4 linked regions of the Rattus norvegicus genome follow. The protein of the gene in region 2 purifies or fractionates together with the protein of the main gene of each other region. This does not show direct contact. Links are inferred from orthologs where the notes say so. Each region holds a gene or a part of one and is shown on either strand. Other genes may lie near its edges. The genes, in order: Nat10, Aatf, Nol10 and Ngdn.

What was found.
Region 1: the proteins of Aatf (region 2) and Nat10 purify together in Homo sapiens (affinity purification with mass spectrometry; 3 studies listed by BioGRID and IntAct, with this or other methods). This does not show direct contact. The link is inferred for Rattus norvegicus from reciprocal best matches to the Homo sapiens genes AATF and NAT10.
Region 3: the proteins of Aatf (region 2) and Nol10 purify together in Homo sapiens (affinity purification with mass spectrometry; 4 studies listed by BioGRID and IntAct, counting the BioPlex papers as one, with this or other methods). This does not show direct contact. The link is inferred for Rattus norvegicus from reciprocal best matches to the Homo sapiens genes AATF and NOL10.
Region 4: the proteins of Aatf (region 2) and Ngdn purify together in Homo sapiens (affinity purification with mass spectrometry; 3 studies listed by BioGRID and IntAct, with this or other methods). This does not show direct contact. The link is inferred for Rattus norvegicus from reciprocal best matches to the Homo sapiens genes AATF and NGDN.

What each region holds. Positions count from the first base shown.
Region 1 is NC_086021.1:110,596,832-110,604,332, forward strand, and holds part of Nat10 (RNA cytidine acetyltransferase), read right to left. Parts: intron 5,338-7,501; 5' UTR 5,323-5,337; coding exon 5,215-5,322; intron 4,855-5,214; coding exon 4,763-4,854; intron 1,936-4,762; coding exon 1,764-1,935; intron 541-1,763; coding exon 418-540; intron 1-417. UniProt on the Homo sapiens protein: RNA cytidine acetyltransferase that catalyzes the formation of N(4)-acetylcytidine (ac4C) modification on mRNAs, 18S rRNA and tRNAs.
Region 2 is NC_086028.1:69,881,695-69,889,195, forward strand, and holds part of Aatf (protein AATF), read right to left. Parts: intron 6,731-7,501; coding exon 6,542-6,730; intron 6,059-6,541; coding exon 5,969-6,058; intron 5,170-5,968; coding exon 4,954-5,169; intron 4,575-4,953; coding exon 4,437-4,574; intron 1-4,436. UniProt on the Homo sapiens protein: Part of the small subunit (SSU) processome, first precursor of the small eukaryotic ribosomal subunit.
Region 3 is NC_086024.1:45,944,586-45,952,086, forward strand, and holds part of Nol10 (nucleolar protein 10), read left to right. Parts: intron 1-4,063; coding exon 4,064-4,166; intron 4,167-7,501.
Region 4 is NC_086033.1:32,456,841-32,464,983, reverse strand, and holds the start of Ngdn (neuroguidin), read right to left. Parts: upstream 4,971-8,143; 5' UTR 4,920-4,970; coding exon 4,908-4,919; intron 4,867-4,907; exon of another isoform or gene 4,646-4,866; intron 4,350-4,645; coding exon 4,290-4,349; intron 3,652-4,289; coding exon 3,580-3,651; intron 687-3,579; coding exon 549-686; intron 355-548; coding exon 270-354; intron 193-269; coding exon 140-192; intron 1-139. UniProt on the Homo sapiens protein: Part of the small subunit (SSU) processome, first precursor of the small eukaryotic ribosomal subunit.

The sequences.
Region 1 (7,501 bases), on a different chromosome or scaffold from region 2:
CAGACTTAACGTAGAACTAGCAGGTATGTTTCCCTCAGAAGATGACGGCTAGTAAGGAAGCCTGCACACAGTCCCTCTAAATGATGAGTTTAGCTCCAGGCCTGTGGTGGTACAAACCTACAATTCCAGCACAGGGGGGCTAGAACCGGGGGAGCAAGAGTTCAAAGCCAGCCCTGGCTGTAAAGTGAGATCCTGTGCCACAGAACAAACACAACAGAGCGGCATGGCATCTCAACCTCACCAGTGTGGAACCGTAACTCCCTGAAAGCAAACATGGTTCTCAGAAACTCCTCACAAGTGGAGAGGACCTGTCTGTTGTGGCGAGGACTTGGCTGCTGGACTTGACCGCTCACTGAAGGTGCTCACCAGCTACAGCAAAAGCAACTGCTTTGCATCAAGGTTAAGAAGCACTCTTACCATAGTCATTGTGTACAGCTGCTTAAGCGAGTTCATGGTCCGTAAGAGGATGACCACCAATCCACCACCTTCTACTGTTTCTACAGTTCTGGCCAACAAGTTTGGAGTTAATGCTTCAAAGTCCTAGAAAGAATCAAACCATAAAAAGACTTGTGACACAAACTCCAGGCTGCCTAACCAAGAGACAGCAGGATAGCAACGAGCGCTTCAGAGCACAGGCCCAAACTTCACCTCTCACACCTGCCCACCAGCAAACAAGGGTACCATAGGAGGCAGCCCATCCATCCCTGGAGTAGAAGATCTGGTTTTATAATCTAAGAAACTATTTCTAATCCAAAGCAAGTCTTCTAAACATCACTCATTCGCATGCAATTTCAGAAGCATCTTACTTGCCTTTTTTGGACAATTTCTAGACAACCTGAAAAAACTAAACTGTACAACATGGGGCACCAGCATCCCGATGACTGGTAAGTTGCTACAGGACACTGGGGTAAAAATGTTCTTTCGAGCTCCCCAGTGTGCTAGAAGCCAGCAGAGTTACTTACTAGAGATACAGAAAGAAAAACTGAAAACTCTTATTCTTGAGGACCACTCTAATTTTTAACTTATATTCCGTGAGATGTTTTCTAATTTACATAATTATGGTCATAATTCATATGTGAATATAACAAGTACATTTAAAATGTATGGATTTGTACACAGACATTTTATCATTTTTGGGGGGAGGGGGCCTTAAAAGGGGTGTCACAGATATTAGATAAAGTCAGATACCATCTAACATCCACCAAAACTGAAAAATGTTTGATTAACTTGTCTGACAAGAAAACAAGTATCAGTGGAGAATTTCACCAAGCTGTACTGAGGAAAGTAGGTGGTTCTTTAAGGCCAGAATAGGTGGGAGGGGTCACTTCTTTACTCAGAAGAGGGTATGAGTGGATAAGCAGGTCAGGGCTGCATAATTGACATCAGTGCTCACAGGCTGGGAGTCCTAGCTCCAACAAGGACCTAGATTCTAGAATGACTCCAAGTCCACAGTGCTCATGCATTGCTATTTGCTCGATGAAGGCCTGGCTGGTCTCAAACTCACAATTCTCCTGTCTCAGCACCCCAAGGCATGCTCCACTGGCCCAGAACTTACTATGTTGGACATGGTAGGCAGGAATCTGTGGTGGTGCAGTCCTCTACTTTCTTGTATCTCCAGTCAAGTGCAGAAAAAAAGCTTTTATAGGGTGAGTAACCCAGTTTCCTTTTCAAATAATTCCAGTAACAATGCTTGGGGTTTGGGGTGCTCACATGTGAGCCTTCGTCCTTACTGTACTCACTCTCATGGGGAAGGAGACACACACCTGGAGGACACACATGCCAAAAGTGTTGCCCAGAATCTTGTGGGTTTCATTGTAGTAGCAGTAGCGAATGTTTGTGGCTGCTACAAAAAGCTCAAAGGGGTCATCTTGCTTTATGTTCAAGGTCCCACTCTTTATCTTCTTCTGTAGCTGCCGCATTCTCTTCTTCCGATGACTGTAACACCACCATCCCAAGAAAGGCAATTAACAGGGGCAGAAGAGGCACAGTGATCCTCAGACCTGCAGAGCTAGTGGGGACTTAGAGGGGAAAGTGTGACAGTGGCTGTCTCCTTCACTTTAAGGGGTAAGGAAAGTGGAGGCACACTGGGATATGCTGGTTAGCATCTTGTAAAGGTGAAAGGAAAGAACCAACCCCACAAAGACATCCTTTCATCTACACACACACACACACACACACACACACACACACCTATACACACACCCACACACACAGCCCTACACCTACAGTCACACACCCACACACACACACACTAACTACTTACTCGTCTCTGTAACCTTCAGCAGACCACTTTAAAGATGGGTAACGGGCAGGGAAGCCTCATATTTGGCCACAAATGATCACCTTAAGTTTGAAACCAATATTCCCACTACTATTCTCCAAAGGGCCTGGGAAAGCTGGGGGTGCTATCAGGCTACTATATGTTTCCTAGACAGGGGTATATCTCCTCAGCCCTGGCTGAGGAAAAATGAACCACTGTTTTCAAATTTAATAGCTAGAACTAAGGCATTCCTTTGTGGGCCTCTACTTCCTGTGTGAACTGAGGCACACAGACTCGATTCTGGCTCCTCCCTTAAGCCCTTTTCTTTCATGGTGTTGTAAAAATGGAGGCTTGGGACAGGCAAGGAGATGTACACACAGATTCCCTACCCTCCTGCAGTTTTTGAGACATTGTCTCAACTCTATACCAGCCAACTCTCATCAATCCTCCACCCCAAGCTCCTGAGTGCCCATATGGTATTACACACAAGGGCCACTATCATGGAGACACAGAACAATTTAATACGATGAAACCAGGTGGGTTAAACTTGAAAACTTCCCAGAATACCAAGGATTACCTGACTCCACACAATCTCATACTTACCAAACCAAAAAAAAAAAACAGTCAAGATATCCCAAACAAAACTCTAACCTATGTAGCTAATTTTACCATCGTGTGGAAGGACATGAGAGATTCCTCAGAGGAAGCAAAGAAACAATTCCAGAAGGCTGTCGTCTGTCTTCCACACACATGCTGCAGCACTGCATGCCCATACTCACAAACACCTCTCTCTCTCCCTTCACCACACACACTCACAAACACAATACAACTTTAAAGGAAAAAATAGGGCCAGGCAGTCATAGACAACCTTTAATCCCAGCACTTGGGAGGTAGAGGCAGGTGGATCTTGAGTTCAAGGCCAGCCTGATCTACAGAGCAAGTTCCAGGACAGCCAGAACTACACAGACAAACCCTGTTGATAGATAGATAGATAGATAGATAGATAGATAGATAGATAGATAGATAGATAGATAGATAGATAGATAAGACAGACAGACAGACAGACAGATAATGAAAGAAAACATCTAAGAAAGCAGGCCTGGACAGGAACAGAAAAGGCAATCACACTGTCCTGAAGGAGAGTCTGGTTGAAAAGTGCTGCTTCAAGCAGACCAACACAGGAAGCAAGGGGGCTCAGGAGCTGATGCCAGGGGGTAGAAATGGCAGACTCAGCATAGGAGCCGGCAGGGACACCTGGCACAGGATGGGGCTATCGAGCTGGATGAGGGCCATCCAGAGAATGTGAGGTACTGGGCAGATAGGATAGGGAAGGTGAGAAGCTCAGGGAGTGGACTAAGTGCACAGGAGTCATAAAAGAAGGTTCCTCAGAGGGGTCCACAGAGTGGATTATCTGCCAAGGAGCACTGTCTACCTCATCTCAAACTCCTTCAGAGTTAAAGGAGAATTGCCAGGTTTCTACATGACTATGACTCACTATATTAACATGTGATGCCCCATTTGGGGTCATCTATGCACTTTCATATGGTTGGCCTTACACATAAAACTAAATATGTTTCTGCCAGAGAAACAGGAAGGAAAAAAAAGAGCTAGTGAGCTAGTTCACCATCATCACGAGGAAGCACAGAACAGATCTGCAGAGATGCAAGGCTGACAAGAAACAGATGCACTCTGGCCCAGACTACCTATCCCTAAGCAGAGCTGAAACCTTAACTCCTTAGGCCCTGAATTATCCTTTCTATTTCCAAGCATTCCCACGGAACCTACGGGTGTTTGCTTTGGAGTCCCTCTGCAAGTCTTCCTCCAAAATGTATTTGTTTATCTGTGTGCCTGTATTTGTGCCTATGTGAGTACATGCACACAGGCTCAGAGAGTACATGTACAGAGACTTGCATTTATGAAGCCCAGAGAGTACTGGACTCCTTGGAACTCAACCTGCAGGCTATGTGCAGGCAGCCGGCTTGTTGTGTGGCTGCTGGGATCTAAACTAGAGTCCTCATGATTGCACAGCAAGTACTCTTAATCACTGGACCATCTCTCCAGCCCCGCCACCAGAAGTCTTGACCAGTATAGCATCAGAAAATAAGAGGCTGGCTATGTAACTTAGTGGTAAAGCAAACACTAAGTACTGTGGTGAATACCCAGAACCACAAACCAAAGAGAGAGGGGGTAGGTGGTAAAAATCACCAACTGTCTAGTAACAGTGAACTGGTGTAAGGAGCTTTCTAAAGAGGAGAAACGGAGAAACACTGTTGTTACTAGAGGGATCAAATCTCTAGGAATGTCTATGAGCTCAAGGCCATCATGATCTTAGAAGCAAAAGCCAGATAGAAAAGGGGTGGCTAGGAAGTATAAAGGCTTCTATTCTAAGGGCAAACAGTGGCCTGAACAATAGAAGTAACCCTCAAGTACACTCGAGGGTTTTCTCCCTAATTTAACTGAGAAGTTTGAAAGCTGGGTGTGACATCCAAAGACAAGGCTTACCTGCTAAATCCCAGCTCTTTCTTGTAACACCACAGGACAGAGGGCCGAGCCTTCACAGTTGCTTTGGACAACATATGATGAAGAATAACCACCTGACAAGAAAAAAAAATCACAAAATCCCAGCGTCAAAGACAACGTAAGGACTGCCAGGCCCAAGACCTCATTGGAAACATAGCAGCTAACTTGCAAGGAAAACACCTAAGGTCACACATGTTTAACCTTGAGGCCAATGCAGCATGTGAGGATTCCAAGGATACTGGCTCATCTCTCTACCCATGAATCTTAGAGAATTTACCATTCCCAGGTACTGAACAAATGTCCCCACTACGGATTCTACCAGCGAAGAGATCATAATGGCAGTGTACTGAAACTTTAAAAGGCTTAGAAAACCCGCCAACCTCTTTGGGACAGGACAACAACAACTGAGGAAGCATTTACCAGGTCTTTCTTACCTGATCTTTTCCTCGATCTCCAACTACAACAAAAAGAGACCTCTGCCGCTCAGATACGCCATTCTCAATGAGAATTCGAATTCGGTTATCCACCTTCTTCCGATGCATGGTGAAAGACTATCACTAACACAGAAATAAAGATACAGATGAACCAAATACTAGAATGACATCCAAGTAAGTGGCCAAGGCCCATTTGTAATCCTAATTACAAAAATTACAAAATCTTAATCTTCAAACAATGCCACAGGGAAGACATTGATTTCAGTTTTATAATCAGGAAGCCAGAGAGGTGAAATGTCCGCAAGCAGGAAAGTCAGCAGAGTGCTTGTCCGATCCATCAAGGAGCTTATGAAAAATTAGGGGAGCTACAAACAGGATGATTCCTGTGAGTTGGAGGCCAGCCTGGCTTACATAGTAAGTTCCAGGGCAGCCAGGGCTACAGGGAGACCTTGCCTCAAGAAGGAGTAAAAAAAGAAAAGGACAGCATGCTAAAAGTAAGTAAAACCAAGAATGATTAAAGCATGGAATGATATCTCTATAGGCCCCAAAGAGTAGCAAGACAAGAGATTTTAAGAGTCTGATATATCCCAGGCTGGCCTTGAATTCACTATATAGTCCAAGATGTTATAGCCTAAAACTTCTGATCCTCCAGCCTCCACTTCCTAAGTACTAGGATTACAGGGAACTGCTCAAATTACAAATATATATCACCACAACAAGGTTTTAAGCTATGCTGGGAATCAAACCTAGGGCCTCATGCATGCTAGGCAAGCAAGCAGTCTGCCATCTGAGTAACACTGCTGGCCCATTTTGTACACATACAAAACATGGCGGGGGACTGGGGGGTGGTGAAACTTAAAAAAAAAAAAAGAACTAGAAAAAAATGTAACTTCTGAATATGGTGAATTTTATTTTGATGTTTGTCTTTTATGGTTTGGTTTCTTTAAAATTCACAGTGTGTGGTAAAATGGCTCGGCAGGGAAAGGTTCTTGTTGCTAAGCCCAATGACCTGAATTTGATCCTCAGAATCCACATGGCAAAAGATAAGAATTGCCAGGCAGTGGTGTGCATACAGGCAGATCTCCCAGTTCCAGGAGGGGGATCCAGTGGGGAGAACAGACTCCTCAATGTTCTTCTCTGACCTCCACCGTGGCCACGGTATACAGCACACAACACACCACATACACAATTAAAACATAATAAAAATTCAAATGCACATGTTACTTATAAAGTGAGAGAAAAAACATATTTCTGATACAATGTTTCTTTGGGTGAGAAGCCACACTAATGGCTCTGTATCCGTGATTTTAGAAAGTACTATCTGATTATTGGGTATATAGTAGTAAAAAATTTGCCTATCTATGGGGGACCCGACTCAATTTCTCCAGCATCCAGTAAAACACAAACATTATCTAATTACCCATAACAAATACACCAAAAAAAAAAAAAAATTGAGAAAAATCAATCACATTCCCATGGTATTAGAATGTTAGGCTATGTGATTTTAAAATCCCAGCACCTGCTGCACTCTAAACAAAACCCCCTTCCCTAAACATGGGCTTTAGCAGGTCTTAATATAAAACACTATCACAACAAATAGCTCCTGTTTAAAAGAGGAGAGCAGAACAAAGAAATCGAGTATCCCAAGGCATTAATGTAACAAACCAGCTTTACAGTCTGATCCACCCAAATCCAAAGCAGTTCAGTTTGTAAGTTTTATGTTGCCAGTCACATAAACATCTACACAAATGAATGGATATCTAGTTGTTAAAAGAGTCTAGCTTTGTTATAGGAGAGTCAGAATTAACAGATAAGGTCCCTAACTACAAGCTTTAAATCTAAAAAATACTTTTAAAAACTAAGTGAAATACAACTACACACAAAATTAGATGAACAATTAATGGCAGGAGTAAAGACTCTAATAATCTAAGATTACTACTGCCTAATAGATAAGGAAGGAATTGCTGGAAATAGAAAGCATGAATCGTTTTCTGTTTTTTATTGCTTTTTGCTTAGTTTTTTCAAACAGTCTCACTATGCAGACCAGGCTGGCCTTGAACTCCAACGAATATTCCAGACTCTGCTTACCAAGCGCTGGAATTAAAGGTATGGGCCACCACAACCAGACAGACAAATCATTTTCATTTGGCTGTATCCATTCCGGTAAACACAGCAGCACGAGGTGCACTGTCAAATGTCCTGAATGATACAGCTAGATAAGTACAAACAAACAGACATACTGCAGTACTTGAGAGCAGAATATCCGGGATTAAGCCGCGTTAGTACA
Region 2 (7,501 bases):
GAGATCAGACAGGTAGGAGAACTCAAACAGTGTACTTGGGGTCACCAAAACCCCAAAAACATATTCAAGGTTGGACCAGTGAGATGGAACAGCAGGTAAAAGTACTTTCATTTCAAGTCTAATGAGCTAAAATCTATTCTTAGAACCCACATTAAGGTAAGAGACAAGGAACCCCACAAAATTCTCTGACTTCCATCTTGGGATGTCTAATGTACACACTTGTGCTTGTTTGCTCCAGCTTGCATGTTTTTACACACACACACACACACACACACACACACACACACACACACACTAATAACCAATATTAAAAAGGAAAATACTTTGCTAAATGCTTCTGCAATAAGGAAATCACTATCAACCTACCTTTCTATAGCATCATAAGAGGTAGGTTTTACAAGTATTAGTAGACTATAACACTAGACGATAATTAGATTAAACTACACAGGGATTCTAAATACTAGTAAGAAGATGGTAGGGGCTGGAGAGATGGCTCAGCGGTTAAGAGCACTGACTGCTCTTCCAGAGGTCCTGAGATCAATTCCCAGCAACCACATGGTGGCTCACAACCATCTGTAATAGGATCCAATGCCCTCTTCTGGTGTGTCTGAAGACAGCTACAGTGTATTCATATAAAATAGAAAAATAATAAATCTTAAAAAAAAAAGAAGATGGTAAAAATACATGTTCACATAGTTGAACATTGCCAAATGTCTATCAACAGAAAAAGATAACTCTGGTACCTAGTTCTTACGGAAGAATGTATGCCAGACACTGTGTAACTACAATGTTTTACATTGATTGTGGCCTTTAATTCTCACAACCATATTAGTCCTATCTTACTGTGAAGTAACCTGCCTAAGACCATAGAGTTAATCAACTGCTGAGATAGTGTCTAACCAGGCAGGGTGTTAGGGTACTTGTACTCTAGACATGGCAGCACACATGACTCTACCCCTAGCACTAGAGAAGGAGGCAGGAAGATCAGAAGTCCAAGGCCATCCTTAACTACACAGCAAAGTAGAGGACAACATGAATACATGAGACACTGTCTCTAAATAAATAAATAAATAAAAAGGTAAATAATCCAGCATTATTTAACGCTGGTGGAAGCAAGAGAATTAGGAGTTCAGGGTTATCTTCTACTACACAGCTAGTCCAAAGCCAGGTTAAGGTACATGAGAACTGTCTAAAACTGAACAACAAACCCTGGAAATCTAACTATAACTGTTCTGACTAAGCATACCTTTAATCCCAAGTCTGGATGCAAGGGCAGGTAGGTCTAAGTTTGAACCAGACTGATTTACACAGCACCTGAGCCAGACAGAAGACTTTGTCTCAGAAAAACAAACAAAAACCTACTGAATCAAAAGCAAAGTGAATTGGTATAGATTTGGCCTGTTTCATACTAACTATTTACACTAGTTACCAAGAATATGCCCCGATAGTGTTGAAAAACATCCAGACAGGCGTGTATGTAACATATTAAGTCTCACGTCATAAGATGGAGGCAAACAAGAAGCAGCCGCCTTCAGTTGCATGGAAAGTGTGGTTATTAGATCCCCCCACCCTTCAGTTGCATGGAAAGTCTGGTTATTAGATCCCCCCACCCTTCAGTTGCATGGAAAGTCTGGTTATTAGATCCCCCCACCCTTCAGTTGCATGGAAAGTCTGGTTATTAGATCCCCCCCACCCTTCAGTTGCATGGAAAGTGTGGTTATTAGATCCCCCCCACCCTTCAGTTGCATGGAAAGTGTGGTTATTAGATCCCCCCACCCTTCAGTTGCATGGAAAGTCTGGTTATTAGATCCCCCCCACCCTTCAGTTGCATGGAAAGTCTGGTTATTAGATCCCCCCCACCCTTCAGTTGCATGGAAAGTCTGGTTATTAGATCCCCCCACCCTTCAGTTGCATGGAAAGTGTGGTTATTAGATCCCCCCCACCCTTCAGTTGCATGGAAAGTGTGGTTATTAGATCCCCCCACCCTTCAGTTGCATGGAAAGTGTGGTTATTAGATCCCCCCACCCTTCAGTTGCATGGAAAGTCTGGTTATTAGATCCCCCCCACCCTTCAGTTGCATGGAAAGTCTGGTTATTAGATCCCCCCACCCTTCAGTTGCATGGAAAGTCTGGTTATTAGATCCCCCCCACCCTTCAGTTGCATGGAAAGTGTGGTTATTAGATCCCCCCCACCCTTCAGTTGCATGGAAAGTGTGGTTATTAGATCCCCCCACCCTTCAGTTGCATGGAAAGTGTGGTTATTAGATCCCCCCCACCCTTCAGTTGCATGGAAAGTCTGGTTATTAGATCCCCCCCACCCTTCAGTTGCATGGAAAGTGTGGTTATTAGATCCCCCCCACCCTTCAGTTGCATGGAAAGTCTGGTTATTAGATCCCCCCTACCCTTCAGTTGCATGGAAAGTCTGGTTATTAGAGCCCCCCACCCCATCCTCTCGGAATGTAGTAGCAAACAACACTCTGTCCGTCCTTCTCTCTTCTACTACAACCTACATGTGCCAGACTAACAGACTTAAGAGTGATAGATGCTCACCAGGACAAGGCAACTGGGTAAGTGCAAAGAATTAGAAAGGCCAGAAGTGTCACAAAGCAGAATTAAAGTAACATGCAAGCTACTCGAAGATAAAGATAAAGAAATCGAGTATGCAATGCTAATCCAGAAATACCTGTATTTTAGTGAATATTCATAAAGATTCAGGAAAGAAGACTAATAAGTAACAAAATGTTAAAGCTCTTACTATAAAATGTTTAAAACATTTGCTCTAGAGCAGCTTAGAGTTCATCCAAAGGCATCTCAGAAATGAGGATACTAGGACACTAAAAATAGCCAAGAAGTACTCCAGAAACCTAAAAAAAAAAATTATATCATGTATTTAGGGAGGAAAAAAAGAAGTCAGGAGAGATCAGTCTCACAATACACACTCTGATCCTGAAAAGGCTGCCCAGATTTCACAGAAAACAAATTTCAAGTATGAATATGACAGACCACAAAACTAAAAACTGTCCACAGAAAGTCATTTCTAACTGCTTAGTCTACAAAAGAAATGCTGTGCCAGGTGTGGTAGCCTGTGCCTTTTAATCTTAGCAGTGGGGAGATAGAAAGTAGATCTCTGTGAGGCCAGGCAGGTCTACATAGTAAGACCCTGTCTGAAAGAAAGAAAGGAAGGAAGGAAGGAAGGAAGGAAGGAAGGAAGGAAGGAAGGAAGGAAGGAAGGAAGGAAGGAAGAGAAATGAAATTTCTATCCTCAAAGTTGCACATGCATCCTGAATTGTGCTCAAATGATTCTATTTAAAAGCGATACCAGACCAGATGTCCTCAATGCTGTTCCAAATTGAACTCCCTACTATAAAAGGTTACATTTTGGGTTTCATGGGGGCTTTTTGTTTTGTTTTTGTTTGGGTTGCTCAGCATGCCCTTAAATCCTAGGCTAAAAGGATACTCCTGCCTTAGTCTCCAAAATAACCAGGACAGCAACTTCTCAGCATACAAGTTAGGGTAGCCATGCTGCCCAAGACTCACATTTCCCTGTGCCCCAGTACTCTGGTGCCACTGGATACACAGGAGACAGCATAGTGTGAGGGGGACTCCTGGTTTAAGGGGAAAAAAGCTGGAGTTTTACACCTTTTGTTAATGAACAAACTCTTTGAGTGAGCCACTATCTCTGGTTTTCTCATCTGTAAAGTGAAGGAATTAGGAACCAAGTAACCTCTAGATTCTTTTTCTCTAGAATTCTTTGAGTTTATAGCGCAATAATTCTCTTCCAAAATAATTCTTCCCCTGCAGTCAGTCTCTTTTCTCTTTGTTATCCAAAGGAAAGATAGGAATAACATCATTTAACTTGTTCCAAAGCCCTCCTGACAGAGGAATGCATCCTTTAAGAATCTGTTACAACCAGCATAAGGACTGAGTTTAACTACTCAATCTCTCACTCCCTTTTGTTCTACATCTGTAGGTTTCCCAATACTTTAAGAAGTAACTCATCCAGAGTGGTGGCATACTCCTTTAATCCTAGCACTCCAGTCAAGGAGCAGGAAGATATGAGTTCAAGGCATGCCTGGTCCACAGATCAAATTCCAGGCCTGCCATGGCTACACAGAGAAACCCTGTCTCAAAAAAATCAAAAAGAACAATAAAACTTTAAGAATTAACTCAAAAAGCCAGAGAAGGCTGGCAAGTGATATCATAAAACAGACATGGCTCATATGCCCAATACACTTTACAGTTGTCTTCATCTGATAATAAGTTATATTGCTATTTTTAGAAGAAGGGTTGATAATTCAGCTTTTTAGATAAGCTCAAATGTAACCGAAGAACTAAAACCGATATTCTATAGTATACTATACCTAAAATTAAAAAAAAAAAAGTTTTTATTTTTTACATCCAATCCAGTATACCCCAAAATGATATGAGTATTCTTACTATTTTTCAGAGCACTGGCAAATTCTGGGCCACCTTTGTCCTTGAAGACAGGGAAAACATCTGGTTGAGGCAATTGATTGGTAGTCAAGAGAGCTTTTTGTAGTTTGATCCTTCCTTCCAAGAGCTGGTCCCACAACGCTGAAGAAAAAAGTAAAAAGAAAACCCCGTGTCAGGGTCAGAAGGTCTCTCTGGGCTGGGCTCTGAAGGACAAGAACACCAATTTCTAAGCAGCATACTCGATGAGTTTCGTGCTATACAAACATTCCTCGCTCTAGAAAATAAACTCTCTCTCTTGCTATGAGAGAGGAAACGTTGACAAGAGGAGACAACACTCTCCTCTTCAACCTCCCACAAGGATTAGTGCAGAACCTGCTAAGCAGCTATACAGGAACTGGGATGCAGGCCTCTGGTCACAGACTAACTGGACGGACACTGGAGAGACAGAACAACCACAACTAAAGAGCAGACGGATGCAGAAACTCTGAAAAGCAAGCAAGCAGCAAAAGCACACACGCACCTATCTGGTTCTTCACAGCTCTTCCTTTTTCCACTTCCTCAGAAACTTTAACACCGGAGAAGGCCATCACCACGCCGTCATCTTCACTGTTCCTGTCCTCTTCTCTGTCTTCCTCATCCTCACCTTCTAAGTCTTCCTCAACATCTTCTGAGATCTCCTCCTCCAGGCCCTCTGAATCCCCATCTTCAGAGCCTCCTTCATCAGGTATTTCATTGTCTAAATCATAAGGGATTTAAAAGGGTAAGGGAGTTACCTAAAGAAACATACCAGGCCACGTCTTTCATTTCAATTAGTCTGTGGGATCTTATATGGAAGAGCAAACATGTTATTGTGCTCTATTCAGCTGAACACACTTACTACATATCTACCACGTCATCTGCCATCTCTAAAATGCTAACGGAAACAAAGACAGACAGAGCATGAGTCCTGGTAGCCTGAAACACACTCTGAAGACAAAGCCTTAGAACTACATCAGGGACTGAATCGCACTTATCATAACCTGAAAGAAGTTCCTCAGACATTATCACTGGACCCTCAACAAAGCTCCGCTGACCTCCCTAAAATAATGGCGTCCTCTCAGTATCCATATCCAGAGACTTCTTCCACCTTGAGAAATGCACTACTGCTTAAAACCATAAGCTGATTCTTTCTCAGGAAAGATGGAAGCATTATGTTTTCATTTACAATGACAAGAGGTCAGTTTCATGAGTAACTAACACACAGGAAACCAATACAAGACCTGAAAAACAAAAAGTCAAAATATAAAAAGCACCACGCACATGTCAACTTTTTTTACCACAGAGCCCTGCCAATACCCGTTATGCATTGCACATTCTCCCCCTCATTTTAGGGTGAGACATTAACCTGAAGTTGGTAACTTTGAGTTCTAGGTTTCTTTTTATTTGTTTGTTCCTTTGAGACAGGATGTCAGGTGTAGCTCAGGCTGGCCTTGAACTCCTGATCCCCCTGCTTCAGTCTCCCCTAATTCTGAGATAAAAACTATCCTCATTCTCACCTTCCAAGTCTTCCTCAACATCTTCTGAGAGCTCCTCCAGGCCCTCTGAATCCCCAGCTTCAGAGCCTCCTTCATCAGGTATTTCATTGTCTAAATCATAAGGAAAAAAAGGAGAAGGGATTACCTAGAGAAACATACCAGGCCACATCTTTCATTTCAATTAGTCTATGGGATCTTCTTTTTTTTTTTTTTTTTTTTTTCTTTTTTTCAGAGCTGGGAACCGAACCCAGGGCCTTGCGCTTCCTAGGCAAGTGCTCTACCACTGAGCTAAATCCCCAACCCCTAGTCTATGGGATCTTATATGAAAAAGCAAACATGTTATTGTGCTCTATTCAGCTGAACCATCTACCATCTCTAAAATGCTAACGGGAAACAAAGTCAAATGAAATGAGATAAAAAGCTTAACTGGGCTTTAGGATTCTTTTTAAAGTGAAACGCTGACCCCTAAGGCCCTTCCTAGTGCCAACTCAATGGTCTTTCCTAAAATAAGTAGAGACACAGAGACTTCCAGAAACAAAACAGTTTAACCACACACAACTAAGCCCAGAGTTTGGGGTGAATATGTCTACTCACCCGATGAACTTGGCAGAGTCTGGTCCCAATGGTCTTCTTTCCAAGCTTTCCGAGAAGTGGTCTTGCCAGAATACCTTTTGTCGGTGTCCAAGAGGGAGACCGGTGCCAACTTTCTAATACTACTCACTGGCAGATCATCTTCTTCCTCTTCCCCTTCATCAAACCTGTCAATCACTCTGGCTCTAGTGGCTGTTGAGGAGGGAGGAGAATAGAATCTTAGGTTAGAAAAAACTTTACTAGGAACCCAATTAAGCCATTTCAACCCCCATCCCATCTTCTTGTGCTAGGTGAGTACTCTTACTACTGGGCTACATCCCCAGCCCTTGATTCATGTCCCCTATACACATCTCCGCTAACTTACTGGAATTGGGAGTTTACTTCTGGTTCCTAGGGAGACTGCTGTCATGCTGCTTTCCGTTTCTAAACAGAAAGCTAACTCCCTGCTTAGTAGACATCTTTTTACGCCTTGGATGCTATAAATCTAGTCTGATTCTTCCTTCCTTTTTCATGGTGTTTTATTTTTTTATTTTATTTTTTTTTATTTTTCAGAGGTTCTGAAGGTTAAATCCAGTGCATCAAGTATATCGGCTACATGCCCAAGGTCCTAAATTCTTCCTCAATATATGACAGTTATCGAGTGCTAGAGATAATCATGACACACATCCAGTTGTCTTCCTCACCTCCCTGACCCACGTCTAAAGCACAATTACTCCCAGCCAGTCTCAGAATAGGTTTATGGAGAATCAGTCTGTCATCAGAATGTGGACAAATGTCTTAAGTCCTAAATAAACACGGTTCAACAGCATCAGATAATCTTTTTCATTCTCGAAGCAAGTTTTTAGAAGCAGTCAGTTTCAAACACACGAAAAACCTGAAACTCATCAGGCTTCTTTCTCCTTTCGAAGGTAATACCAGAAAGGGCTTCCTAAATAAGTGCCAGTCGGCTCCCTACAGCAACTC
Region 3 (7,501 bases), on a different chromosome or scaffold from region 2:
GATTGAGGGAAAACTCAAGAAACTGTTTGTGAGAGTCTTGTTGGAACTGGCCTTTTGAAAGGTATAGTATTGAGCACTCAGTGGGGTGGGGACAGGTCCCACAGGGCCCTGGAAAGCCATGGAGAACTGTCCAGCTGAGATTAACATCATCACATCTGTCTTCATCAGTCCTTCCCTCAATACAAACACTTTATATAACAATACTGTGTGTTTATTGTAGAATTAAGTCATAGAAGCAGAAAGGGTCCTGTTCAGAAACCCATAGCAAAGTATCTCAGCTTTAAAACAGTGGTATGGGAGAGACTGTACTCCCAAGTACTCAGACTGTCAGAGAGTCTGAGAAGACAGCTGCCACCACCCCTCACCCCCAAAAAGGTCCAGGTGCCTAGACCATACCCAAGGCCAAAGGCTAGTGGAGCTGGCAGACCCAGAGCCAAGTTACCACCCAAAAGGCTATGCAAGGGTGGGGGGAAGGCAGACACCAACTATAACACTGGCTACTGATTTAAATCCAAAAGCAGACTGAAACAGTCGAGGGTAGCCTTGAAGTGTCTAGCATGTTCCCTGTGAAGTGAAGCAAATCTGACATTCAAAGTATAGAGCTGGGTTTTCAGCTTATGAACTCCACAGAGCCTATGTCTTCCCAGTGTATCCCATAGACAAGTGGAGACCTAAGTCTGGGCTTGTGGTATGTGTTGATTTGAAAGATGCTAGCCCTTTCGTGTGATGTGAAAGACTTCAGTGTGCTGAAGATATGTTTAGTATGAAGATATGTTTAGTAAGAAGTAGAATCCCAGGGAAAATATGTTTGTGAGTCAGATAAAAGCCATACATCTGTTTGGTTAAGTGTGCTGAGAGCATCACACTTTTTTTGGCTGCTTAAATTAATCACCCTCACTGGAGCTTTTGAAGCTCCATTTGCAAACTAGTAATATTGAGAGCATTGAAACTTTTATAGGAAAGAGAAAATTTTGTCAGTTACTTAAAAGACTTACTTAGTATATATGTACATGCGCTTACCTGAGTTTATGCACATGATTATGTGCATACCTATAGGGGCTAGAGAGTGTCAGGTACCCTGGAACTGCAGTGTTAGATGTGAGCTGCTGATGTGGGTGCTGGGAGTCAGACTTGGGTCCCCGTCAAGGACAGAAAATGCTCTTAACCAATGAGCCCCCAAAGTTGGTTATTTAGGAATACCTAACATTGCACTTTTAAACACTGAAGCACTGTTTACATCTTATATTTGGATTGCATTTGCCTTGTAACTAGAGTCTGTCCTGAGGAACAGTGAGGTATACTGCCTTCTGCTCTTTAACTTGCCCTCCCCTGCAGAGGGATTAATAAAAACTGGTTGAGGAGTGATTTTTTAATTAAATGTTGCTAATTAAAGAAATTTTAAAGTGTGTATTTTAAGCCTCAAAGAAGTAAGTCATTCTCCTTTCCTGGGGCAGCTAATAAATATCTCATTTGATTTTTTTCCCCTTGTAGTTTATGCCCAGTTCCTTTTTCATATTAAGGAATCCTTACTAATCGTGTAGGCTCTTCCCTTCCTGTTCTACCCTGGATAGCTGGGTGTCTCAGCTTCTAATCTTTATTTCTCTGTCTTCTCTTTGTAGTCACCATCATGTTTTTATTAACTTGTCCTGTTTACATTTTTTCCCTGAAATACATAATTGTACCAACTAGAAAATGTCATGTGTTGTCACCTTCCGCCCCAGACCTGAAGCCTGGGGTGGGGGATAAGGAGAGCCTGAGGTAAGAAGGGAAACCAGCTGCTGCTGCAGTTCTCTCTGACCAGTCACACTCAAGCAACAGACGATGACCTGCCGGGTGGCAGCCACACACTGACTTTCAAAGGGAGAGGAGGGGAGCTTGCTTTAATGTAGAAGTCTGCACACCATCCCCAGCTGTCTCTGATCTTCTGCCATGGCTCGTCCTAACACTCAGCTTGCCTCTCTGAGCAGCCTAGACAGAACAAGTTTTTACAGGCACAGGAGGAGAGAACATTGGGAGAAGGCAGTTATGTGCCCTACTGTGGAGGAAGTCAGGGCGTTCTTAAAGAGTAGTAATTTCCCACAATTGACTTGAAAAGTCTTTTACTTCCCAAATTAAGGTTCTCTGTGGCCCACTTTGTCTCAGTGGCTCCATAGTTCAGAATTCCTGTTAACTTTGAAGCTCACATTGAGAGCAGCCATGAACAGGCTAAGGAATCTGCCTAGGTGGACAGTTTGCACTGCAGTTAGCTCATGCCTCACTTTTGAGTTATTTAAAACATTGCAACTGGATTTTAATTCCTTCCAGTTTGTCATGTGGGAGCTTGTCACTAGGACCACTTGATGGACACGTCTTCTGAAGAGAGGTGTAAATCCATGGTCTCACACACACCTGAAAAGTAAACTCCCTCCTGGAACCCTGGTTTTAGACTTGATCCACATACTGCCTGGGGCAAGTCATTTAACATTTACCTCCCTTTTGCCATCTATAAAGGATAAATACTTCTGTCTCAGGGATGTTGAAAGGATTAATTAGTTAGTCTGTAAAGAACTTTGAAGATGAAAAGTACTTTAAAAGTGCTTCTTAATAACGTTATCGCCTAGAAAAGAGCGCCACTTTTATGCTAACCACTTATGCCTCAGACTGTGCAACGAAGGTGTGCTTAGCATGCTACAGATAGCTAGCTATAAAGTGAAGTGAGCTTCTCATGGTGTGAACATCAAACATTGGTTTCAAAATCGCAAAGGAACTTCACTGTGTAGCAGCTTCCTCAAGAGTGGGGATCCACTCATAATTAGTTACAGAGATCATTCTGGGGAACAGAGGACAGAGGATGTCTCTCACAGTCGCCCCTGCTCCTAGTTCTATCAGGTTTTTGGGTCCCTCAAGGGAAGGTGAAGATGGAAGGTCCTTGGGCTTTATTTTGTTCTTGTGCACTCCTTGATTTGCAGAGGGAAGAAACAGAACTGCAAGGCAAATGGCGCTCTTCCTTTCTGGTTCCTTCTCCTGTGCTCTAGGATCTCATCTGGGGGTAGGCAAGCATTGCAGCCATCCTGGAGCAGGCAGATCTCCAAAACAAGTTAGTGGGGTGGGGATCTAAATGTCCTGGCTTATGATAAAAACATTTCAGTAACATGCAGGTAAGTTTTAAGTATCAGTGCTATTGGAATTTGAATGGGATATCAGTCCCGGATGGGCATATGCATTCCTGTAGTCCCAGAACTAGGAAGGCTGAAGTAGCTTGCCTAGAGTTTAAAACCAGCTTGCACTATAGAGTACAAAGTCTTCCTCTCAGTACGGGCGTGCGCTCTGGAGTGGAGTGTCAAACCTGAAGATACCAGCAGATGTCTCAATGGAAAAGGTATCAGGTGGAATTTACCCAACATTCAAATTGTTTCTGTTCCCTGTCAGTGTGAACAGAGGGATTTGTGTTCAGTTGTCCATGCAGAAGATGGGGATTGACCAAGGCTGATGTAGAAAACCAGAAGTGTCAGGGGACCCCTGTGACAGGAACTCAGCTTCCACCCAGGTGCTTGTAGGAAGTGAACGAGGGGCCGCATGTCCACCCACCTCAATGGTTTAGATACAGAGTGACCAAGAATCACCATCACTGCAGACTATCCCAGGAGACCACAGGCCAGAAACACTGTTTGCATTTTGGTTTTAGAAATATAATCCAGGGGCTGGGGATTTAGCTCAGTGGTAGAGTGCTTACCTAGGAAGGGCAAGGCCCTGGGTTCGGTCCCCAGCTCCGAAAAAAAGAACCAAAAAAAAGAAAAAAAAAGAAAAAAAAAAGAAATATAATCCAGTGAGCTCAGTGGCAGCCATTGAGGTTGAGGTCCATAACCATTGAATTAATTAGTGTTTGTGTCAGCCACTGTTTTTACAGTGCGCTTATGGAAAATGACAGTTTGAGGACAGCTGACTCTCTGGGCTCTGTTAAATGAGTGTTACTGTTTACCATGTGCATGAAAGACGTGTTCATGTGATCAGCCCTGATTAAACCTATCCCAAATAGTCAATCAAAGCATGTTAATGAATATGTCATTCTTTTAACCTCCTACAGCAAAACTCTGGAAGATCGCTTGAAACTTGAAGCAAAACATGGGACCTTGAGTGTGTCAGACACCACTGTTGGCAGCAAGCAGTTGACATTTACTCTCAAGAGGGTAAGTAGTTTCACAATTGTCACCTCCGTCTCCGCTGAAAGGAGCAACACCACAACGTTCTTCTCAAAGCAGTTTATTCAGGAACCTTTCTTTCTGCATGCAAGCAGCAATCTCTCTTTTCTTTTCTTCTCCCTTTCTTCCTCCCCCCCCCCCCAGCACACTCCCTTATATCCTCCCTCAACTCCGCCTCCTCAGTCCAGACTGTGTAATCTCAGTTCATAGGTCCACGTCACATGACCTGATCTTGCGTCATGGTGCACCTGCACAGCTCTCACAATGAACATGGCTAGTTTCAGGTGTATGAGGAAGTCAGGTGCTAGTCACGAGACTTAACTGCAGTCCCGGGCGCCATTTTGGGACTGCCGCCACACCCGCTCCCCACATCCTTTGTGACTGTATAGCTAAAAATGGTTCCCTACACACAATTTTATTTTAATCCACACAGGAAAGCTCTAGGTATGCATATGGCTTTGGGGCCACTCTCCCAAGCTTCTCTCATTGAGGAAGCCTTGTTTCCTACCCCAGTGCTTCCCTATAGCCAGAGCCCCAGCTGGGTGACAGCTACAGAAGAGTATTCATGGGAGAAAGGCCTCATGCTGGAGTCAGCCCTGCTTGGCAACCTATGTTCCTCTGGGTCTCTGTGGCCCATTGTGCAGTCCAGCTTCACAAGAGCTCTGTCTGAGCTCTGTCCATCACCCAGTACTTACCTACAAAGGACTGTGAAGTGACTAGCTTTGCGATGGTCCCATCTGGCTTGCCCAAATACAGGCATTTCCCAGAGTGATTTCTCAGTCAGTAGTAATCTGTTTTAAATTGTCTTGAAGATCCTTTTCTTCTTTCTTCTTCTTTCTCTCTCCCTCTTCCCCTTCCTTCCTTCCTTCCTCATTTGTTTGTTTTGGATTTGTTTTGTTGTTTCTGCTGTTTTGAGACAGGGTCTCTGTATATAGTCCTGGCTGTCCTGGAACTCACTCTGTAGACCAGGTTAGCCTCGAGACCCGCCTGCCTCTGCCTCCTGGAATTGCAGGTGAGCACCACCACTGCCAGGCAAAGAGCCATTTCTGAAGCACGATGTAGTCCTAATGCCTTTTGCATATTGTGGGAGGGACTAAGTTGCTTAAGTATCTGCCATTAGCTAACAAATAACACAACATGGTCTCTTTTCTCAAAAAGATAATTTTTTCCTTCCCAGTCATATCCCTCAATGAAGTCATCAAGTAAAAAGGGCGACTGCAAAGACAATTGCCATCCCCTATGGCTCCTTCTCTAAACTGACATGTCACTTACATGCTGTAAAATCCCCCAAGGTTTTCTTTTTAAGTGTATGTTCTTCACTTTTTAACAATATACACAGAAGGAGCTCTGTGTTTCACACAGGAACATACACTTAGCAGTGGAGTTCTTGCAGTTCTGTCAGTCTGTGATTTATTCTCTTAAATAGGTCAGAATTTTTACGCTAAAACTACTTGATGTGTTAGGCTTTTTTTCTGAAATCAAATGAGCAGAGTATAACTTGTTAACACAAGGCTTATTGTCAGCTTTACTGTCTGTAATCTATAAGGAACACGTTTATGTCTCCTTTGAAACAGGAGCCGTCTCTAGGAACAGACCCACAGTGTCTCTGCGTGGCTCTGTCCAACAGACCGTAGTGCAGCACTGCTCTCATTCTATAATCATAGCCACTTGTCTCCCAGAATGAGACAAGCAGGAGCCCTGAGCTGTCTGAGTGGCTGCTCATCTGGTCAGTTCTTTCAGCGAAGTTGGAAAACTTGACAGGAGAGGACTTGCACACCCCCTCATGCTAATTAATCCCTCACACTCTCTTTTTTTTCTCTCCTTCTGATGCTTACTATTGTTTCTCCAGGTCCGTGCATATGTAGGTAACACTCTGCAGCTAAACTCCACCCCATACTCAGCAAGACTGGCAGTGACTTCTAATAACATTCACTAGGTTTATAACTGTCCTGCTCGAAGCTTTTGTATCAGAGCTGGGGAGATAGCTCAGTGGAGGAATGCTGGTCACAGACCCCAGCTCTGGCAGTGAGACGGCTCAGTCATTCCCACCCCACAGAACTGTTAAGTCAGAAGTCACAAAGTTGAATGTCACTTTGTAAATTTGTGGTAAAACGAAAAGATGAGGAGATACCCTGAGACTTGCTTGAAGTGACACCAGCGCTGAATCAAAACCCTTTGGGAGAATATACTATGTCAATTAATGATTGATTTATGAGTTGTATTACTTGATTGGCATGCTCTTAATCATTTAGTTTATCAGTGTTAAATATATGTTTAAAGATATATTTGTGTATTTGTTTATAGAAGTTTCTTTTTGTTCTATATTCATTGTATATGATACATTGAGGCAAATTGAGGTGCTTTCTGCAGTGCCCGTTGAGTTCACGGGGAGGCTGCGTGTGCTAACGCTGGAATCAGAGCTGTTGCTTATGTCATCAGCTAGCATCTGTCCTCTCCCCTTCCCCACAAGGGCTTCAGGCTGCAGCTGCACAGGAACAAGGAGAAAGAAGAAAAGCTGACTTGGAAAAGAGCTAATTGCCCTGTAAATCTTGATGAGTGGGTGACACGGTGGTATGGTCTTCCAGTGCAGCCTTGGGGAGAGAGGCTAATGATAGACCTTGTGTGTGGGGAGCTTTGTCTACAGAACAATAGAGGCCTCTTCCAGAACTGCCCCCACAGTCCTGCTTCACACTGTAACGACAGGGCCACACTCGCACATGAAGACTCCAGAAATCCTCACAGCTCCTAGCATCCTGTCTGTCTGGGTTCAGCATATCTAAAGAAATGCATTTTATACACCAGACATGGTAGTGCACACCTACATCAACCTTAATCCACACTTGGGCTGAAGCGGGAAGATCATGAGTGTGAGGCCAGTCTGGGCGACACAGACACTGTTTAGGGTGGGGAGGATTTAAGGGAACCTTAATGTGTAGGGCAGAATATTCTCCCCTCTTCTGCCCCTGCCCCCAAGTACTCACTGAAACAAACCCAGAGCCTTGTTCATCAGAATTAAATAGTTGTGCTAACTCTGAGGGTCTTGATGATGTGCAGTGTGGTCTACAGGACAGGTGCTGTCCCCAGGTTCCAGGGTCTCCCTTTTAACACAGAAAACCAGTGCCCTGACTGGCCGCAAGGCTCAGTCCTTTCTCTCTGCTAAGGAAACAGGGCAAATGACACATTTACAAAATTAGCCCAAAGTAAGAACTCCGGTGGAGGAAGTGCCTGCGAGCCCACGGCAAGGCATCTAGTCAGTGTTTTAGGAAGCAGAGGCTACACTGACATACCACATCTTTTTATACATTTTATTTATTTTTATCTGC
Region 4 (8,143 bases), on a different chromosome or scaffold from region 2:
CCTCCCTGGCACACCCTGAGGAGATGGAACCATGGGCGAGGGAAGAAAGCTTCACATGGAGGCACTCCCAGCCAGGAGCTGGAGAGGGTCCTGCCGAGCAGGGTCACCACAGGCTGGGCTCAGCCGACACGCGCCTTACCTTGCTCATCATATTGCTGGGGTGAGGCTTAAAACGAAGCGGGTCATTCTCACCTGAAACAGGAAATCCAAGTTTACAAGACTTGAACTCTGCGGTGACCCCACCACTCCCTGACAGCTCTCCCACTTACTGAGGCTGCCTGTCACTGCAGTCTTGACCAGTTTGTCAATTTGATATTTCAGCTTCTGGTCCAAAGGACGGAGTTTTTCTAAAACCTACAATGTGAGAATGTGAAAGGATTACACTTTCTTTCCCAAATCAGGCACACACGGGCATCCATGCCTTGTTCCGGATAAGACAACTGAAACATTCACAAATGAGCCAATGTGGATGAAAACGCCTCCCTACTTAGAAAGAAGACCACTCATTCCCACAAGAGCCCTGGAGTGCGAGCCTTAGAAAGTCATACCGTGCGAATCTCCACCAGCCTCAGAACTGCAGGGTGTCCCTGCAGAGAGCCCCCAGAGGCCTTGTCCAGGATGAGGTGGCTCAGGTCCATGAGGTACATGAGCAACAGCTGGTCTTTCACTTCCAAGAGGCTCAGACCCTGAGGTAAACAGTGAGAGACAGACTTAGTCTCAGCCAACGAATCAGGAGGAGCAGCTAAGGCAATACCGGGATCATGTCTTCCCCAGCCAGTCCATGTTACCCGAATCATCCCGTTACCTGCTGTGCCCACAATGCGAATGCTGTCAGTCACTTAGCAGTCACCCCAGCTCAATTGTCAGTTATTAGAGAGCTTTTGTTCCAGGAAAGGCCTATTTTCCATCCCCGACATATGCGTGAGAGCCGTGCCGAAAAGCAGCGCAAGGGCATAAAATGTGGAAAGGAAGATAAACCCTGGTGCTGTGCAGAAGACTGCAGACCACAGAGGGACACACACAGCACAGTCTCGACACCCATAGGAGGTCTTGAGACGCATTCCCATGGATATGGGCGGGTTCTCCAGAAGCATCCAAAGTCGCCCAACGACTAAGAGTGCTGCAGTCTCAGAGCTTCTGACATCTGAGTCCACGTGACTCTGAACGTGGACACCGTGCATATCAGCAGCACCCTTGGGCTTGTCTCATGGACAGGCCCTCCCAAGTTTTAACCATTTTAGATCTATCACAATATAGATAAGACAAGTGATTTATATACACTGATAGGGAACTAAAGGTCAATAGAAGTTGTAGAAAGTGGTTATAATACAGTTCCAGTGGGGCTGTGTGATACACACACCTTCTAAAAAATCTATCGTCATGGAAGACGTGAATGCATTTGTGAGCACACGCATCCAACCCCGAACACATAGAGGTCAGAGGGCACGGTGGAGCGGGTTTTCTTTTTCTACCATCAGGTGGGTTTCAGGGCTGAAACAAGTCTCAGGCTTGCACACACTGCCTCACTCCCTCAGCTGTCTTGCTAGCTGCACACTTTTATATGCAGGAAAAGCCCGAAGACAACACTCAATTAACTGTCTAGAAAGAGGAGGATACCAGGGAAACAGTGCTTGTATGATGAAAAAGTTCCTTTTGAACAAGCGGGTCACTCCAAAAGCAGAGTGCTCATCGGAAAACATGGAAGGATTCAATCCCTAACCCCAGTTGATACGTACACAGGTAAGAAATAAATTAAGCAAATACACCGACTTTCAAACAAAATACAGTAATAATTTGCAGTTATGAAATAAGAGAAAGTCTTGTGTCTGCACAAAATGATACCGACAGTCCACAGCTCTGGGAAAATGTATGTATGACGGGTTAAAAACTTTGGCCAAAAATTACACAGCAAAAATTCAAATGCTAGTCATACTCAGTGAAACTCCATGGCCTGAGTCCTGGGTATCTCTTAAACATGCTTAGCTCTTTATGTCAGCCCTACTGTACGTCCCAGGATGGGAAATGGAATTTAAAACTGCCAAGTTGAGTTTAAATTTTGATTTACCCATTTGGTAGTCAGATATTGGTTATGTCACTTAAACTTGAGACTGTAAACTTCTCATATGTAAAAAGTAACAGAATTCCAGCACTGCCCTAAGAATGTTTTGAAACAAGATAACAAGAAAGCACTTCTGTAACCTGTAAAGCACTTTATAAACGTCAAGGGTTGTCCTCTAATGACACAAATAATCCCCAAAATGTTCTAAAATATTTTTATTTTTTTTCTTTAAATTTTCATTTGAGAGGTAGCCTATTTCACTGCACATCAGAGAATCTAAAATCCTAGCCCTTGAAAGGTGGAAGAGTAAGGTCATAAGTTCAAGGCCAGCCTGTGTTTCATAGCATGCTCCTGTCTAAACAAACAAAACAAAATGAAAAGGGAAAAAAGGTTCAAGCAAGAGAAGAAGCTACTGCATCTCATTTTCAGATTCGTCATCTTCACAGTTTAGGATCTCAAATTAGGATGCATCTTTCAGTCAATGGCTTCTCATCACAGATTAGTGCCATTTTTATCCACAAGTGATGCACTCCAAAAGTGCCAACGAATGTTTGCAATGGCAGAGAACTGAATCCTAGATACACCGTTCTTCCTACGCACTTATACAAATGATAAACCATAATTTACAATCCTAGTGTAAGAGATTAACGGCAGCTAGCAATAGCGAGTAACTCAATTACACACTAAAATACACTATTTAAGGGGCTGGGGATTTAGCTCAGTGGTAGAGCGCTTACCTAGGAAGCGCAAGGCCCTGGGTTCGGTCCCCAGCTCCGAAAAAAAAAAATACACTATTTAAAACTTAAAGAGGTGGGCTAGAACTTTACAGTTATTATTTTCAGACTGCTGTTAACCTCAGGTAACTGAAGTGACAGAAAACAAAGCTGGGGACGTCTGTCTATAAAGCCACCTCGGCCCAAATTAACATCAAGACCACAAGAAAACAAAGGAGCAACTCCTCAGCTGTCCTACGTCGGAGTGACGGCTCCATTCTTATGTTTACCCACATCACACACACAACCAAAATGCATGTATATCCGTCCACAGAATCATCTACTCCCCCACAACACTGCAATAGTGAGTATCTCATATTTATTCTCAAAGTCCAGTTACTTTCTCTGCTTGGCTGGCATATCACTCCTGACTTCTGTAAAGTGGCTGCCACTATTCCTATCTAGCCCTCTGGTCTGCGTCCTTGCCCAAATCCTGTACAGAACCCACACATTACTCACATTTAGGTGAAGCTCTAACTCTCAGGACATTTACCACACAGCAAACCTACTAGAATAAAAACAAACCCAAACCACCAAGCACATCATATGAGGAGATATTCCCTTTTCAAGGTCCCCCCCACCTTTAAGATTTACTCTTATTTACGTGTTTGTACATATGCACACCATACATGTATGGGATCCCGTCATGTAGACCTGAGTGCTGGGAACCAAACCCAGGTTCCCTGGAAGGGTGGCAAGCTATCTTAACCACTGAGCTGGCCCTCCACCCTGATCGAGAACCCTTACCTTCTCTGTAGAATATGCTCCAGCTCGAACTTTTGCTGTCAGTGCTTGTACTTGTGCTGTCACAGCCATCACCTGAAATTAGCCACATTCAATCTGAACAGTTCACCCGACCACAAGCAATGTTTGGGAACAAGGAAGAAGAAACACTAGGTAATGCCACCTAAAAATCAACTGAAATGCTGTCGACGAACACCACGCTCCAAGAGGCAGAGAAAAACTTCATACTGCTTTCTAAAGCTGGGGGAGGGGATCATTAAGAAACCAAGAGAAGGGGATGAGGAGTGGGGCAGTGGTGATGAGGACTGTTCTGGAACGCATTATACAGATTGGGCTGACCTTGAACTCACTGGAGAGCCACCAGCCTCTGCCTCCCAAGTGCTGAGTTTAAAGGTGTGGGCCATTACAAAAACAAGGCTGAGGAGTGTAATTTTATCTGTACCAATAGGACTTAAAAAACATCAAACTATCTAAATGCATATTAAGTGGCACTTATAGCGATATGTCACTATTGCCAATCTGTTTTCTGTTATTTTTTTAGATAAAGGAGTTTGGGTATAACTTAAAAAAAAAGTTTTCTGGGGAGGGGGCTGCGATCAGGATGTTAAGTGAATGAATGGATAGATAGATAGATAGATGATTGATAGATAGATGAGAGAGAGAGAGAGAGAGAGAGAGAGAGAGAGAGAGAGATAAAAGGAGACAATACTCACCTGCTCCTGGAGATTTTTCAAAAGTGTTATCGAACTTGACACCTCTGATTCCAGCACCTCCTACAGATAGGGGACAGGTGAAGGGGTCAATTTCTTACTTTAGGTGTTGAAGATGGCAGAACGTATCGCCTATGAAACTCCCTCCTTTCCTTTAAAACACTCGAGCCTTTGGGTCGTTTTTCCTGAACAGGTATAGGCAGCCTCGGCTCAAAGCCAGTCTCCTCTCACCACACCCCCCAATTTACTGGAAAAGACCGGAGACTTGAGCGCCAAACCCCGCGGCTGTCTTTGCTCCGAGCCCCCGCCACACTGTACGTGACGCTATTTCTGCTAATGTTCTCGGAACATTCTCCCACCTTAAGGCCGGGTCACGAGGCTCTCCCAACAAAGCTCATTCTGAAGAGTAATTTTGGGGGTTTGGCCTCCTGTCCGGAACCAGCCAACATGCAGCGTCTCTCATCTAACATGTGCTATTGATTGTCAGGGCAGGCGCATCCCTTTAACAACTTTCATCACTACTCTTCCATGCTGCTAATTGTTTGCCTCGTTCCAAGGAGGCGAAAGGAAACAACCAGATATCCCTTCCTTTCCGGGAAGAAGCAACGAGACAGAACTCACCGGAGCCTCCATCTTCGCAAAGCCCACCCTTTCCGGGCCCGAACTTCCTGGGAGCTAACCTGAGTTCATAGTTTTGATAGACAATCACAATTTACAAATTTCAGCCAATGGAAATAAGAGATCTTTCATTTCCGCTAATCAGAAAGGCGGGACCTCATCTAGCCAATGGAATAAAGAAACTGCCTAAATGTGTCAGACGCAGAGGCGTGCTTAAAGCGTAAAGATGGGCGGCGACAGAAGCATGTGATTCGTGGTTTACAGAAAATGATTGATGCTACTCCCAATAACTACTGCATAAATGATGGATTGACAGCTAGAGAAACCAATAGAAAAAAGAAATTAGTTGTGCAGCCTGAGAGCTCATTGGCTCCCAGATGCCGCAGAGTCACAGTCTTCTCACAGGGTTTTCCGTGTAGTACCAAAACAGACCGCTGGGTGGCAGCTTCCGGCTATTCTCTGATGCAGTCGGGTTACTGGCCCGCCATTGCCCCTTGAACTTCCAAGTACCCCTTTCCTAGTCCTGTGACCGTCCTTGTACGACAATGGAGCCCTTTTCATCAGTGATTTGGATGGTTACGATAGAGGAGCCAGAAGCCACGATTCGGAAGCCGTCGGCCGCATCACTGGCCCACCCTCCTCGTGTACGCCGAGGATGCTGCGCAAAGGCCGCAGTGCGCCCAGCACTCGTCTCGTGGGAAAAATCGATAGGCGAGGAACCGGCTCAACCTGCGTGCATTCCTCACTGCTCCATTCGTCCACTGCAGAACTGGGTTAAAATCCAGGCTGTGCATATTTCCTTTATCCCCTTCATCTTTGCTCAGTATCGTCCAACACGCCCACTCCCTCGCCTCTCACGGTTTGTGGATTAGGTGGGAGTAACAACTCCCATCGTCCGTCTGCATTACACAATACAGCCTAGAAAGGTGGTGCTGGCTCGGATTTTCCTTGCGCAATAGAAGAGCAGACTTGAGACGGGAAATCTAAAGTGTGGCTTTGCCTTTAATCCTAGATCTCTTTAGTCAAGAGACATGCAGATCTCCAGGAGTTTGAAGCCAGTCTGGTCTACATTGTGAGATCTTGTCTCAATAAACAAAATGAAAAGAGAGCCAGAGCGATGGCTCAGTGGTCATGATGGCCAGCGTTCCATTCCCCGCACCCAGACAAGGCAGTTCACAACTACATTTAACTCCAGCCCCAGGGGGATTTTAGTTTCTTCTGACTTCCTTATAAACAGACAAAGGCATACAGAAAAGTAATTATATGTAACAAATGGGAGTTGGATCTCTTTCTACTATGTGAGTCCTGGAAATAGAACTCAGTTGGTCAAGCTGGTAGGCAAGCAAGTGCCATCTTGTCAGCACTTTCTGTGTATCAGGATTTGCTTGTGAAACCTCTGTTTTAACACTACTCTTCCTGACACAAACAAGATTTTGCTTTCTTTGGAACTTGAAGTTTGTCACGTGTTATGGACAAATGATTACAATATCTGAGAAAATAAATAAAACTGCATGTTATTTTATGTATATGAGTACACTGTCACTGTCTTCAGACACACCAGAAGAAGGCATTAAGTCCTATTACAGGGGCTGGAGAGATGGCTCAGTGGTTAAGAGCACTGACTGCTCTTCCAGAGGTCCTGAGTTCAGTTCCCAACACCTACATGACAGCATAGAACTGTCTGTAACTCCAGTTCTAGGGGATCTGATATCCTCACACCAACACATATTAGGTAAAGATAAAAAAAAAAAATGAAGAAGGGAAAAATAAAAAATACCAATCACCTCATATGTTACAGAAATATTAGAGCTAACAATACAATAAATCTTTATAAAGTTCTTTCAGATTCAACCAGCAAGCAAGAACACAAGATCATTAAATCTGTTTTGACTTTGGTTGTTTTCAACAGCACCACACGATGGTAAGTACTCAGAGCATTTACAAGTATATACTGAGCAAAGAAAAAAAAAAGCTTTCTTTTAGGAATACAAATTTAATGGCGATTTTAATTATTATCATTTTTACCATTTTTGAAAATTTCATGAGCACATATTTACATAATTTCACCCCATAGTCTCCCTCTTCCAACTGCTCCTGTGTCCACCCCTCTCCATTTCAACATCATGATCTCTTCTTGTTTTACACACACACTTGCACACGCACTTGCACATGCATGCACCTGTATGTAGATAGATAGATAGATAGATAGATAGATAGATAGATAGATAGATAGATAGATCTATATAAATGCAATGTGCTGAGTCCATTCAGTGTTGCATATGTGTTTAGGGATATGTTGTGCCGGTTAGTTTTTTTTTTATCAACGACACATAGGGTTATCTGGAAAGAGGAAGCCTCCATTAAGAAAATGCCTTCGTAAGATAGGCCTGCACTCAAGTCTGAATAATGAGAGACGTGGGAGTGGGGACATATCAGGTGGTCCTGGGTTATATAAGAAAACAAGATGGGGTTGGGGATTTAGCTCAGTGGTAGAGCGCTTGCCTAGCAACCGCAAGGCCCTGGGTTCGGTCCCCAGCTCCGAAAAAAGAAAAAAAAAAAAAAAAGAAAACAAGATGAACAAGCCACGAATCAAGCCAGTCCACATCATTCCTCCATAGTCTCTGTTCTAGTCCCTGCCTTCAGGTTCCTGCTTGAGTTCCTGCCCTAACTTCCCTCAGTGGTGCACTGTGACCTTAGAGTCCTGAGATGAAATAAACCATTTCTTCCCCTAGTTGCTGCTGGTCAAGGCGTTCATCACAGCAATAGGAAACAAACCAGAGCATGTGTGTTTCGGGGTGAGCACTTGGATTGAATAACCTGGTAACAATTGGTGTTGTCATCACTGGCCTTGTTTAGACAGCCATATTGTCAAGATTTCACAGTGCAGGGAACCTGTCAGGTGTAGAAGACACCATCTTCTAGCAAATGCCCTGGTCCAATGGCTCTTACCTTCTTCAATCTTCCAACCCCGTGCTGGCCAGCATCATGTCAACTTAACACAGGCTAGAGTCATCTGAAAGGAGGGAACTTCAGTGGAGAAAATGCCTCCCTAAGACCCAGCTGTAGGGCATTTTCTTAATTGGTGATTGATGTGGGAGGGCCCCGTCCATCCTGGGTGGTGCCATCCCTGGGCTGGTGGCTGGGTTTTGTAAGAAAACAGGTTGAGTAAGCTGTGATGAACAAGCCAGTAAGCAGCACCCCTCCATGGCCTCTGCACCAGCTCCTGCCTCCAGGTTCCT